2 linked regions of the Arabidopsis thaliana genome follow. The protein of the gene in region 1 purifies or fractionates together with the protein of each later gene. This does not show direct contact. Each region holds a gene or a part of one and is shown on either strand. Other genes may lie near its edges.

Evidence for each region.
Region 2: the proteins of AT1G10690 (region 1) and CYCD5;1 purify together in Arabidopsis thaliana (affinity purification with mass spectrometry, with the first as the bait; one large-scale study listed by BioGRID). This does not show direct contact.

The regions. Positions count from the first base shown.
Region 1 is NC_003070.9:3,547,887-3,553,859, reverse strand, and holds AT1G10690 (cyclin-dependent kinase inhibitor), read left to right. Parts: upstream 1-3,011; 5' UTR 3,012-3,291; coding exon 3,292-3,624; 3' UTR 3,625-3,940; downstream 3,941-5,973. UniProt on the Arabidopsis thaliana protein: Probable cyclin-dependent protein kinase (CDK) inhibitor that functions as a repressor of mitosis in the endoreduplication cell cycle.
Region 2 is NC_003075.7:17,676,223-17,683,423, forward strand, and holds CYCD5;1 (cyclin d5;1), read left to right. Parts: upstream 1-2,945; 5' UTR 2,946-3,274; coding exon 3,275-3,517; intron 3,518-3,597; coding exon 3,598-3,684; intron 3,685-3,768; coding exon 3,769-4,078; intron 4,079-4,153; coding exon 4,154-4,302; coding exon of another isoform or gene 4,303-4,308; exon of another isoform or gene 4,309-4,383; coding exon 4,384-4,566; 3' UTR 4,567-5,042; downstream 5,043-7,201. Other genes in the region: ACA2 (calcium ATPase 2), read right to left, coding at 7,003-7,201.

The DNA.
Region 1 (5,973 bases):
TAGTTAGAATGTGGATAGGGAAATTCGGTTAGTTTCCGGTTTAAAGGGACAAAATTGGGAAGGTATACGCGCCTACTATGTGGAAAGATGATGTGTTAGTTGAAAGTTGAAACTAGAATACATTAGAATGTAGAAAATTTCAAGCTAACAATATTATTCTTAGCTTGAGTATTCCAATGGTAAACAAAAGGCTGCTCCAATATATTAGATCCAATAAATCAGAAGAAGCCATAAGTTTTAGAAAACGTTTACATATTTAAATAAGAATTTGTGTTTAAGGATTATGACATTTTCTGTTAAATAAATATCTAACAAATAGTAACGTTACCAAAATGATATTGCACCATAATTTATGTATGTGCACTAAGATAATGGTTTAGGGAAACTGCAATTCAGAAAACTACTAAACAAAGGTCATTCTAGCTAGATAAGAGGCAAACACGAGTTTATTGTTGAAGAAACTAAGAAATCACATATTTGTCGTTGCCGGCAAACACCGACCAAAAACCTCTATATATGTTTTCACAGGGTGCAAAAAACTTGAGCATCGGCGATGGAATCTCTACAAAATATGTTGACCGGTGATAATTAGAAAGTCAAAAATAGGACCGCCAACTGAAGTGTGAATCTCAACGACTCTTTCCATCTCGTTACTCCATTTATTACTTGCATCTAAAGGGTATTTTTATCTCTTTATATTTAATACATAGAAGTTGATACAAATACTATATATATTTGTGTAAATAAAAACACACCCTATGAATATAAAAATAAGTTATTTTTATAATTTACGTAGCTTAGGTCACGCGTTTCCTCGGGTTCCCTATTCTCATTTAAAACTCATTTTGTATATCCGTTCACGGGCTCTCTCTTTTCATATCAACTCTTCTCTCAGCCAGATTAGATATACTCCATTTCGTTTTCAATGACTATGTCGTCGTTTTACAATTGTCCACATTAGTTAACAGTATATATTACCTATTAATTAGTACTACTATAGAATCATTTTACAATACACAAAATATCTTTGATGAGTTTTTTTGCAGGATTTGACCACATGATATATTATTATATTTGGTGGCGTATGTATTTCACCGGATAAGATTATGGTTCACGTTTGTTAATGGGCGTGTATTTACACTAAGTACAAATATGCTTGAAGCAAGCAATACTGAGAGAAAATAGAGAAAAGTAGTTTTTTTTTTTTCCGTGAGTTTGTTAATGGGCGGCATTGTCATAGTGTTATTATACATTAAAGAGTTTTCTATGATTTTTATATCTACATATACATTTTTGATAGACTTTTTGGTCAAAAATCCCTTAACTATTTACTAATAACATTTAGGTCCTTACCAGTTATATTTCAACCAAATATTCTATTACTAAAAATTTATAATTTGTTAGTTTGCATTAAATACTTAAATTAACTCTTTTCTATATTACATATTTAGCCTCTACAAAATCTATCTAAAACAAATATGTGTCTAAATCCTTAATTAAATCTTATCATTATTGAACTACAATCAATTAATTACGAATTTTCTAAAATTTCTCTATCTACATTAAATATAAATATATGCTTTTTCTTTCACTTTTTGTTGTTCTTATATCTAATTTATTTGATTTTATATAAAATATATATAGTTTATAAAATATTAGATTTTTTCTGCATATGATGTAATTCAAATTTTTGTAAACAGACATATATTACTCTATGTATAAAGAAAAAAGTAAGTGTGAAAGATCCCACATTACTTAAGAAATTGGGCAATGCTTTAGAGTCTTATTATAAAAAGAACCAAAATAATTTTGAATAACAATGAACTGGAAGTTTGATTTATCAGGCATCCAAAAATAAAAATGTTATCCGGTTTACTCTGAATCTCTATTTTAAAGAACTGAATCTTTAAAAATTTCAAAATATTATAAATATTTAAAGTTTCTTAAAAGTTAAATATCAAAAAATTTAAAACTTTTAAAAAGTTATACTTTATTAAAATATATATATATATATTAATATGAGACAATATATATTACGGGTGAAATCCTATATATAACAATTAAAATACAATTATAAAGTTTGGATCAATATATATATATATATATATATATTTTAATTTCAATACCATAAATATTTAAATTTTAGAAAAATAACAAAATGATGTTTAATTTCACATGACGGGGTTATACGGTAGGACGCGTTTGAGTTGATATTAATATGGAATTATATATACTACGGATGAAATCATATAATTAACAATCGAAATATAATTATACAATTTTGAAAACAAAACCAAAGTAACAATATATATATATATATAACTTAAAATTTTAAATTTTTTAGTTCTAAAATTGTACCAAGGTGTATTATACGTTAAAAAAATAACATATGTCTATATATCATCTTAAAAACAAAATTACTTTTTTTTATATAAAAATATACATATGTGCTATACCTCTTAATATGTCATATATATAATATTAATTAGAATAAAATCGTTAAATTTCTAATGAATATCAACGGGTCAAACAAATCAACATTAATCCTATAAGAATCGACTTCATGTATTTTGTAATTTTGTTTCGAAGACATGCATCCATAAACTATTCATGACTTTGATATCATTTTCATAGTTTATAATATTCAAAGATTTTTTTTTTCTTTTTTTTTTTGTTAAAAAGATTCAAAAGATTTGGTTTCACTATAAGATAAAAATCTCAAATGCGATTAAATTTACCTGCAGGCTGCATGATCTAAAATAAAATAAAAATGACCTAGAAATTTAAATTTTGAAATGTAGGAATTGTTGCTACTTCTCTCATGCTCCTTTATTCCCTCCACTCTGCCCTCAGCCTCAGGCATCAGTAACGAATAAATATGAATATTTAAAAAAAACGTACAACTCTATCTCACTGTCTTTCTATAATTAAATTTGATTTTTTTTTTTATAAAAAGAAAACTTACAATAATTTTATTCAGCAAAATCAGTAGAAATTACCGAACTGAATCGACACCGATCTAACGTAATTAATACTCTGTTGACTATAAAACCGTCCTCTAAGAAAAAATGTCCCCTTCACTTCACATTCGCTCGCCACCAAAGTTAACCACAAAAAAAAAGTATCCAAGAGAGAGAGAACAAAACGTCTCATTCGTTCCCCACACATCAATCCCAAAAACCTAAAGCAAACCTTTGATTCTTTCATCTTCATCATCAACCATAACAACAAAACTCCTCTGTTTTTTTTTCACTTTCTCTGTTTCCTCTTCATTCACATTCGAGAGAAGTCATGGGATATTCCGGCAAACCTCACCACCAACTCGACGGCGAGATACGAGAATCCACCGACGGTAAAAAATGGGTCATCGCCGGAATTCCCTCACGTTCCCCTCTCAAGCAGATTAACCTATCTCCCGGCGTCACAGTTACCGAAACAGAGGAGCAAGATCAGTGTCCTACGACCCCTACGGCGGTTTCCGTCAGAATTCCAAGGGTCCCGCCGTGTCCAGCGGCGCCAAAGAAGCGTAAACCGTCGTTGAAGTGCAGTTACGTCACCGTCACTAGAGATTACTTCTCTCCGCCGGACCTAGAAACCGTTTTCATTCAAAGAGCTAGTTATTAACTCTGTTTTCACGACTCTGATCCCTCTCTCTCTCTTTATAACCTTCTTTTAGGGTTAGTTTTCTTCATCTAGTCGTAATCCTCGAATCTGGTTTAGTACTCTTCAGTCTTAGATTCTGAACTTAACTAAATTTACTCTATTTGTTTCTCAGTTGTATTAACGTTAGGACACTAATCAAGGTTAGTGAATATGAAGTGTTTGTTTCATGTTTATGTATATTTCTATTTCCCCCTGTTTTGAGTATAATTGATGTATATGATTTCTTAGCTTTATTCATTTACAAATTTTCTGTCTTTTGCATTCATACTCAGTGAATTTGGTTGATCATAAAAATCATTTATCCTCAAAATAGTTTTTTTTTCCTTGGAAGTTTGAAATGAAATTAACAACCCTAACAAATGTGGTTCACAGATCAAAAGTCTTACACTTTATCTACCTTTTTGGTTTACTTTTATCTCCATCTATATTTTTTTTAACTATACAAAAGAAAAGGAATCTTTCTTCTTTGCCTAAAAACTAAAAGAATCTTTTTTGTTCTTTTCTAAATGGTTGAAAAATTGAATGAATGCAGAAATCTCTCCCCCTTTATAATTATATCACAAGAACAATAGTGTCTTCTTTCTCGTTATTAGTCTCAACAATCTCTTCCTTTTATCGCAACATTTCTTCATCATTTATTGTTTAGATCATTCTCATAATTGGACATAGTTGGTGAATTTCTTCACTTATAGCATGCAATGAAATGTCATGTTATATCTGACATACCAAAGAATTTTTCTTTTGTTATACATTAAAAATTCAACCTGGTGGCATCTAATTTGTTTTTACCCCAAATTTTTTTTGGTTTTTCATTCAAATATATTACTATCCTACTTCACAATAGTTAAATGAAATAATTTAAATTGATTGTCTGATTGATATGTTACATAGTCATGACGTTTGTCTACGAAATATTTTATTATTTAACTGTGTGCACAAAAATATATGCAACTACGTCGGTAGTTTTTTTTTCGGTAAAGGATTTTAATATACATCAAACATCATTCGAAGATCAGTGACAGCCACCGACGCAAGTGGAATCCGAGAAAAGAATACGCCAAAAAGTTTTAGTCCTCATTGCATCAAAATTTCCAAGATTTTGGAAGTTTTCGAGTTTATACTGATATTCTTTTTCGTCAAAGATTTATTGTACAATACTTTTATAATATTTTTTTTAGTTTTTAAAATTTATCAATTTCTTGTGGGGTTTTAATTAATTTCTCTTGTGTCTTATAATTATATTATTTTTGTTTCTCCTTAGTTAGTAACGTGATTGTACATAGCTTTAGTTTGAATGTAACCAATAACTATACCCATTTATCGGGTTATACACTTCTACCACATTATAATCATTTTTTTTGTCATACTTTAACAGGGATCAAAATATCCTATTTGCGGAATCTTATTATGGCGAGTATATGCTTACAAAGATTAAGAAAATTATAAGTAGTAAACTATTCTTGTTAAAAGAAAAAGGCTTCTCTCGCGAGTGGATAACAGAAAGCAAATGCTATAGCCTATATATGTGAGGCTTTAGTTGAAGAAACTCAGATGTTTTGAAGATCACTCGTATACGTAAAGCTGATTGAAAAAAGTTTTTTTTTTTTAATTTTTAATTATAGGTTGCAAATTATTTAATAATCTCATCAAACTCATTAAATATGATTGGAATAAGACTCTTATTAAAACGACGTCAAAAGAAGAAGAAGTCTCACCAAAACGACGTCAAAGAAAGAATACATCAACTTTTGTATATTACCTTGTTGACTGAACAAATACTATATATCCTCACTACCATCAATTGGTTGAAGGTTGCGTCTCCTTCATTTGTCTAACCTTTGTTTTACATTTTATAAGAAAAGAATATTTGAAAAATCACATTGAAAAGCTGCTAATTATTGGACTCCACATGGTTAGAGATCCCATAATTTGGTGATCCCGGTGCGTTGTACTTGGGAGGGCCGATAATCCTTAATTTAGTCTTATCCTTCAAATTTTGAATGTATTAAGTTAGTTAATTGCGAGATTTATATAGAAAGCAAGAAAGAAATTAAAATGAATAATGTCGTTGGATCCTGGAAATAAATTGATCAGTATATTAATGGGTGAAGTGAAGATATTGAAATGCATTGACACTTGGTATGTGTTGCTAGACACGTGGTTTACCCAACTTCTGTAGTTCATCATGTTTGGATAATGCAACGTTATCCATAAAAGAATCATTAATAGCGACGTGAAACAAAATAAAAAAATATCTGACCAAAAATGTAGAAGAATTTTTATTTACAAAATTTCCATTCGTCTTGAATT
Region 2 (7,201 bases), on another chromosome or scaffold:
AGGCAATCCAGCCTTTCGCACGTGACCGACGCTCCTCCACTGTAGTTATTGTCACGTGCGCCATCATTCCACCATCAATTTTTTTTTATATATTATATCATATTTCTTTCATGTATTATTCAACATCATACACAATTGATATTTGATAGTGTTATGTCTTTTTTGTCCATAGAGACCTTCTTGTGGAAACAGAGGGACCGAGTTTCTTTGTTTTTGCTAGAGGATGAATAGACTAATACACACCTCGAAAGGAATCATAAGTAGATTGGAAAATATTGTGTGTAACGTGTGTTAGGTATCCTAGATTTGTTAGTTCATTAAAAATGTGATCAAATTATATTTGGTTACTAACTCTTTTTTTTTTTTATATGTCTGACTGTTAACCCTTCTTAACTCTTAAGAGTTCACTATGTTCAAATAGGAGCATTTATTTTCGTCTCATTTGCTATATGTAATGTCATATTTAGTTACCAATATTACATTTTATTTTCCACATAATAGTAATTTTATTAAATGCGTGAAATAGACCACAAAAGACTTTGATTCCTTATCAACAAGGGAAGACAATCATAGAAAGAAAAGCACGAGAAAACAAAAATAATTTTGTTTCACCAAAAAAAACAAATTAGACATAGATATTCACCAAGCGAGTTAGCCTAACGACCCAAAACTTGTTTTGAAGTGATAAAAAAATATCCTGCAAATTCATCATCATCGTTACTAATTTCGGTCAATCTTGGCAATTGCAGATCACATCATCTAAATTCTAAAATGATGAAATGCATTTTTCAAGTTATTGTGAAATTGGTCCCTCATCTTGACTACATACAAACATCTCAGAAAAAAATTTGTAACATAATGTAATCATTGTATATATATACATAGAAATGCACAATAATACAAGTCAGAAGTTAAAAAAAGGAAATACAAAAATAATCTGTAAAATACGTAATGTGAGAATATTACTTGTATCTAGGGGGGAGATCGAACAAATGCTGCTGATACTTCACTAACATACACATAAAAGTTGCAGATTTTGGATCTTGCGTCTTCTTGGTTTTATACCCTTTTCTTACATCTAGTCTTATAAATATTAATACTATAATAGAAAAATTAATTATCCTATATATTGAATGACTCGGCTCCAAAGCCATGCGCCTATATATACAAGTCTTTTTATTTTTTAAAAAATTTGTCAAAAAAGGGACCAGAAACATATAAAGATGGGAGCCTCATTTGCTGATGGATAAATAAATATTTATTTGATTTTAAGTTTGTTCAAGACTAATTATAGTACAAATTAGTAAATTGTTGTTCTTTTTTTTTCTTAACATATTACATATTGTATAGTATAATTCCACTTTCATCCAATTGGATAATCAGTTATAATTCGGATGGTTTACGATACATCGGATTCTGCTTTCAATTTTTCTTGTATACATCAAAATTTAACACATGATAAGGTTTTGGAACCCGCTAACGAGACCTACCTATTTTTACAATAAATATACTCATTCAGTATTTGTCTATATTTCTACCTACAATCTATGTGAATTTGCTTACGTATATCTACTCTTCTTATCTACGTACTGTATAAATTTTCATACACAATCTTCGTGTCTCGTAACATCTACTACATGAGTCATATACAACTTTCTCACCTAACATGGAAGTCATTACTCGTAGGCCTAATTACTCGTTACCGTGAATATAACTATAAAAAGTGAGGAAACAAAAAGATTTACGGAGAAGAAAAATTGAATAATAATTGCAATAGAACTATAGGAAAATTTGTATATGACTTAGCAAAAATAATGATATGGAACTAAATTAAAAAGTTGAGAGGATTTTTTTTAGTGGGAATGGTATGGTGTTTCCCCCACCAATTCCTAAAAAAAACTTATTGCAAAATTGCTCTTTTGATCTTTATTTTCTTCCATTGAAAATGAATTTCTAGGTCTGAATTTAATTGAAGTCAATAAGTGGGAAATAACTAAACTAGCTATTCCTCTGTTTTCTGTTCACAATTCTATTTTGAATAAAGTACATTTTAATTCAAACCTCTTAAAATAGAAGTTACTACAAAAGCAACAAAGGGGGTGGTACGTGGAATACACTAATGAGAAATGTTAATAAGAACGTTGTATTTGGAATGGGATTTAACTTTCTGCACATAAATTTCAATGGGATCATTATTCTTTCCTAACTAAATGATTGATACAAATTCAAAGGATCCTATAAATCTTATCTCAGAGACCGAAAGAAAATTCCATTTGTACAAAACAACAAATAAATAGAAGAAAAAGTTTGATGATAACATTCTTAACAGAATCCGTGAACTTTGTTCATGTAAGAAATCTAGAGTGTAATCAAGGAAGTTCAACAGGTAAAAACAATGACATTTATATATGGACGTTCTTAAAACGTGTAAATCTCATATATTTAAGACAGCCACAATAGTTCTAAACGCTCTCCATTCCTGCATTAAGTATTTATTTCTATTAATAACATTTAATTTATCAATAAAGTTCACATTATCATAGACAACTCCGAAATTAAAAAAGTTTTTTTAAAATAAATTTGCTTAAACTTAAATAATCAACAAAATACAAAACAGTTTAATGGAAATAGCAGAAATCTTTTTCAAGAAAATACAATACTATTAGATAAAAACAATTTTGTTAAATTAAAAAAAACCCATAATTGACTAGCATCAAAAAGTCTTCAAACACAAGTAATCCTGCTGGATATTAAAAAAATAAAAGAGTAATCATTCCTTTAAAAAATGTGATTATTTGTCGACCCAAAAAAAAAGAGTGATGATATTATACATATACTCAAATATTAGTGAACAAATAAAACCTAAAATTAATCAAATAATAAAGATTTTTAATTTAAATGTAACCGCTAAATAACGCCCCCTCTCTCTCCCCCACTTATTTTTGGCGGCACCAGACGCGGGAGACTCTCTCTCTCTCTCCACTCTCTCTCTCTTTTTTCTTTGTTTTTTCGTCACTTGCTCCTAAAATCCCAAATCGAGTAATGGAAGAAAAATCAAATACGATGATTTAGCTTCCCTTCTTATTCTTCCCCTATATTCACTGCGATAACTTTGCCTCTCATCTCATAAATTAAAAAAAAAACACTCTTCTCACAAATTCTTTATAATTCCCCTTTTGATGTGTACGGACACACCACCGAAGCAGAAGCAGAAGAAGAAGAACACTTCTATCTCCGCCGCCGCCGTCGTCTTCATCATCATCGCCGCCGTTAAATGGGTGAGCCTAAAGACAGTCTCGCTCTCTTCCTCTGCCACGAATCGGAGTCTTCTCTAAACGAAGACGACGACGAGACGATTGAGAGATCTGATAAGCAAGAACCTCACTTTACTACTACGATCGATGATGAAGATTATGTGGCAGACCTTGTTCTTAAAGAGAATCTCCGATTCGAAACCCTACCCTCTAAAACGACGTCGTCTTCCGATAGATTGATTGCCATCGATTGGATTCTCACTGTCCGTAATCTCAAAAAGATTTTCCCTTTTTTGATCTTTGTCTTAATCTCTGATTGATTGGTTCTTTGTCTTAATCTCAGACAAGAACAAGATTTGGGTTCCAACATCAAACAGCTTACATTGCAATCTCATACTTCGATCTGTTTCTCCACAAAAGATTCATCGGTGTAAGTTTCAATCTCCAGTTTCATTTATCTATAAAAATCTCACCTTTATCTTCAGATTAAAGCTTAAAGATGGTTTCTTTGTAGTTGCAGAAAGATGAAACATGGGCGATGCGATTGTTATCAGTAGCTTGTTTATCATTAGCTGCTAAAATGGAGGAACGTATTGTTCCTGGTTTATCACAATACCCTCAAGATCATGACTTCGTTTTCAAACCCGATGTCATTCGTAAAACTGAACTGTTGATTCTATCCACATTGGACTGGAAGATGAACTTGATCACTCCTTTTCATTACTTCAACTACTTCCTTGCTAAAATCTCTCAGGACAACCATTCTGTTTCTAAAGACTTGGTGTTGTTAAGATCCTCTGATTCTCTTCTTGCTTTAACTAAAGGTAACTCTATTAAGAAACACATTTTTTTCTCAAGATCAAAGCATTTATTGATATCACATTTTTGTTTCCATGTAGAGATAAGTTTTACGGAGTATCGACAGTTTGTTGTTGCTGCTGTTACTACATTGCTAGCTTCTTCTTCTACCTCATCGGATATTAGATTGACTAGAGAAGAGATAGCTAACAAGTTTGGTTCGATCTCTTGGTGGACTTCTAATGAGAATGTATAAATCTTGGTGTCTTTTTATTCGATTTTGATTGTTTGATGTTGATGATCATAATCTTAGGAGTGTTGGGTTTTGTAGGAAAATGTATATTTGTGTTATCAGAGAACGCTAGAGATTGAGGAGAGGAAACATATGACACCTCCACCGGAAATAGCGGTTTCTCGCGAACCGCCGGCTTCAGGAAGTGGCGCTAAACGCCGATTGTCTTTTGATGATTCTGATCAAAGTTCTCCACCAGCCAAGAGAATGCGTAGGCTATGAAGAGAGAGTTTCTTTCTTCTTCAAGTTTTGGCTTATATTGATTTGGTTTCTTTTTTGGCAACATATTGATTTGGTTTTATATTCAATCATTTGATTATAGAGAAAAAATGGTCTGAATACATCGGTTATTTCAATTTTTATGAAGTAACTCATATAGGTTCTTCGTATGAAGGTCTTTGGATTTCTTGGGGATGAAATGTGACTATTAAAACATTAGGGGCTTCTCTGAGAGAATCTAGGAAATATGAGGAGTGAATGTAAATAAATAAGAAAAACAGAAAGGGTGAATAGTTTTAGGCCAATAGTTGCAGTGCCAGTGATTTGGTTTCACATCCTCTTTTATTTTTTTATTGTCTTATTTTTTTATTTGTTATGTTGCAATTTCTTTTTCATTTGATATTACAAAATTTTGTCATAGATTTTTTTTTTTTTTTGGCATCAAAGTCCATTTTTTTAACCTCTTTAACTTTCAAAAGGGCTCATTCATAGCAAATAATAAATGAAAAAACTCTTTTTAAGGTAAGGTAAAATTATTTTATATTTGATAAATATATTTATTTTCTTATCTTTATTGACACTTTTGGTCATCTCCAAAGTGAATCCATCTGTATGCTACTCAACATGTTATGTCCATTCCACAAAGTCCTTCGTGATCTTTTCATGTTCTCAAATCTCAATATATAATATCTTGGAAAAAAATTAATCAAATAAAAAGAAAATTTTCTTGTTTAGGAAAAATCATCGTTACTTATCTTTGATAGATAACTACTTTTACGAATTGACAATCAGTCGATCACGATAAACTAAAACGGATATATATTTTGCTCCAATAAGTTTTCTTTAGCATTATAGAAACCAACAACTTGTAGTGGAACTGTGGAAGTACTTTGGATCAATGATTGGATCTAAAGATGAAACCCCAATTTATACAGAAATTTGCATGTGATGTTTTTAAGTTAACGTACTATTCTACGCGCAAGTCAAAAGTGCATCGTACTCGTACATATAGAGGTAGATTGTTTTTTTTGTGTGTGTTTATAGGATTATTGTTAATATTTTCAATGAAATGCAGTTGAGAAAAAAAAAAAAAAACATATGTGTAATAGACTGAAGAAACAACAACCCAACGACTTGTTTAAGTGAGAAACAACTGTCTCATACAATACAACTTGGGATCCAAAGTTTTGGTTCCATTAATTAAAGCTTTAATTCCAAAATGATTAGCAACGAATTAAAAGACTTATTACAAACAAAATGCATTCTTACAAATTAAGAAGCATAAAGTACTGACAGAATATAATTAAAGATAATGTGTGTGTGGTTTAAGGCCAATGTTTTGTTGCTCTAAGAGATTATTCAACAAATCAAGAAGCATAAAGGGTCAAGCTTTACTTCACCAAGAACTAGTTAATGCTTCTGAATTTTCTGTTGCCTATCTTTCAATGAATATTAGTATGTCCCAATTGTTATTTTTTTTTTTTGCTTATTATCATTGAGTTAAACCATTTTGTTTCTGTTGGGTTTTGTGTAGACATATGTGAGATTCACGGGTAACACAATTTAGTTACAACTCTCACTTTGGTTAGGAGATGGATAAACTAATGACTAGTGAGATTGAAATATCACAAAAATAACTAATCTTTATGTAAATTCTATTTTCATTCTAGATATTAATTAGTCCTTTATTTATGAACATTTATTCACACGATCACAAACTTAAACAATTAGTTATAGAATATTTTACCGGTCTAATGTTCACATAGAAATTATAATTTACCTATACGCCTACAAGGGACAAATGACTATAGTATACTCATTTTTTCAATCTAAAAAATGGTTTTACTTCATAGAGATCCTAAATTGATAACATTTAAAAATGTTTTTTTCTTTTCTTAAAGAAGAGTCTTTCTTATTTATTACAGTTTTGAGATTGACAGGCTTTGGAATTGTTATATGGAATCAGTTTTGACTGATGAGATATGATGTCAGGAGAAGAGGCTCCCACTAAAAGCCATGACTTCATTGAGAGATTTTCTAAGTATATCAAATTACAGTCTGGCTAGATAACAATTTTGTACCCAAATAATCATTTTTCTTATTTTAACCTTTTGCTTCCTCTGTTTTTTCAATGTCCTTTTTCTGTATTTTTGCATTTGTCATTCAATAGAGACCAAATTTAGATTCCAAAAATGAGAAAAAGAAAGAAAAGAGAAGTGTCATTTCAAAGATACAGAGAGTTTTACAAAAATGGAGGAAATCAGATATTTGTCCTTAATAGCACTAATCAAACTGAAAAATAAAAGTCAAGAATAAAAAACAGAGTCATTGCATAATGCAAAAACTTTGTTAGAAGACTTGTCCGTTCTAAACTTTGAAGTAACTGGTCTAATATAGAGATCTTTAAAGAGTGGTTTCGAGCCAATTTTGATGGAACGATCAAACGGGAATCGTCTTCAGTCCAGCGGCGATTGGCATACCCAAGAAACCTATGAAGATACTGAAGATCCATTGTGTTATTGTGAGTGGTGTTGTGCTTGCAAATGTGCCCAAGAACTCGATGATTATGATCTGAAAGAAAACCGTTGCACCGATCACAACCACAAAGACGTAATTGTCCAGTATTCCTTTGAAAACA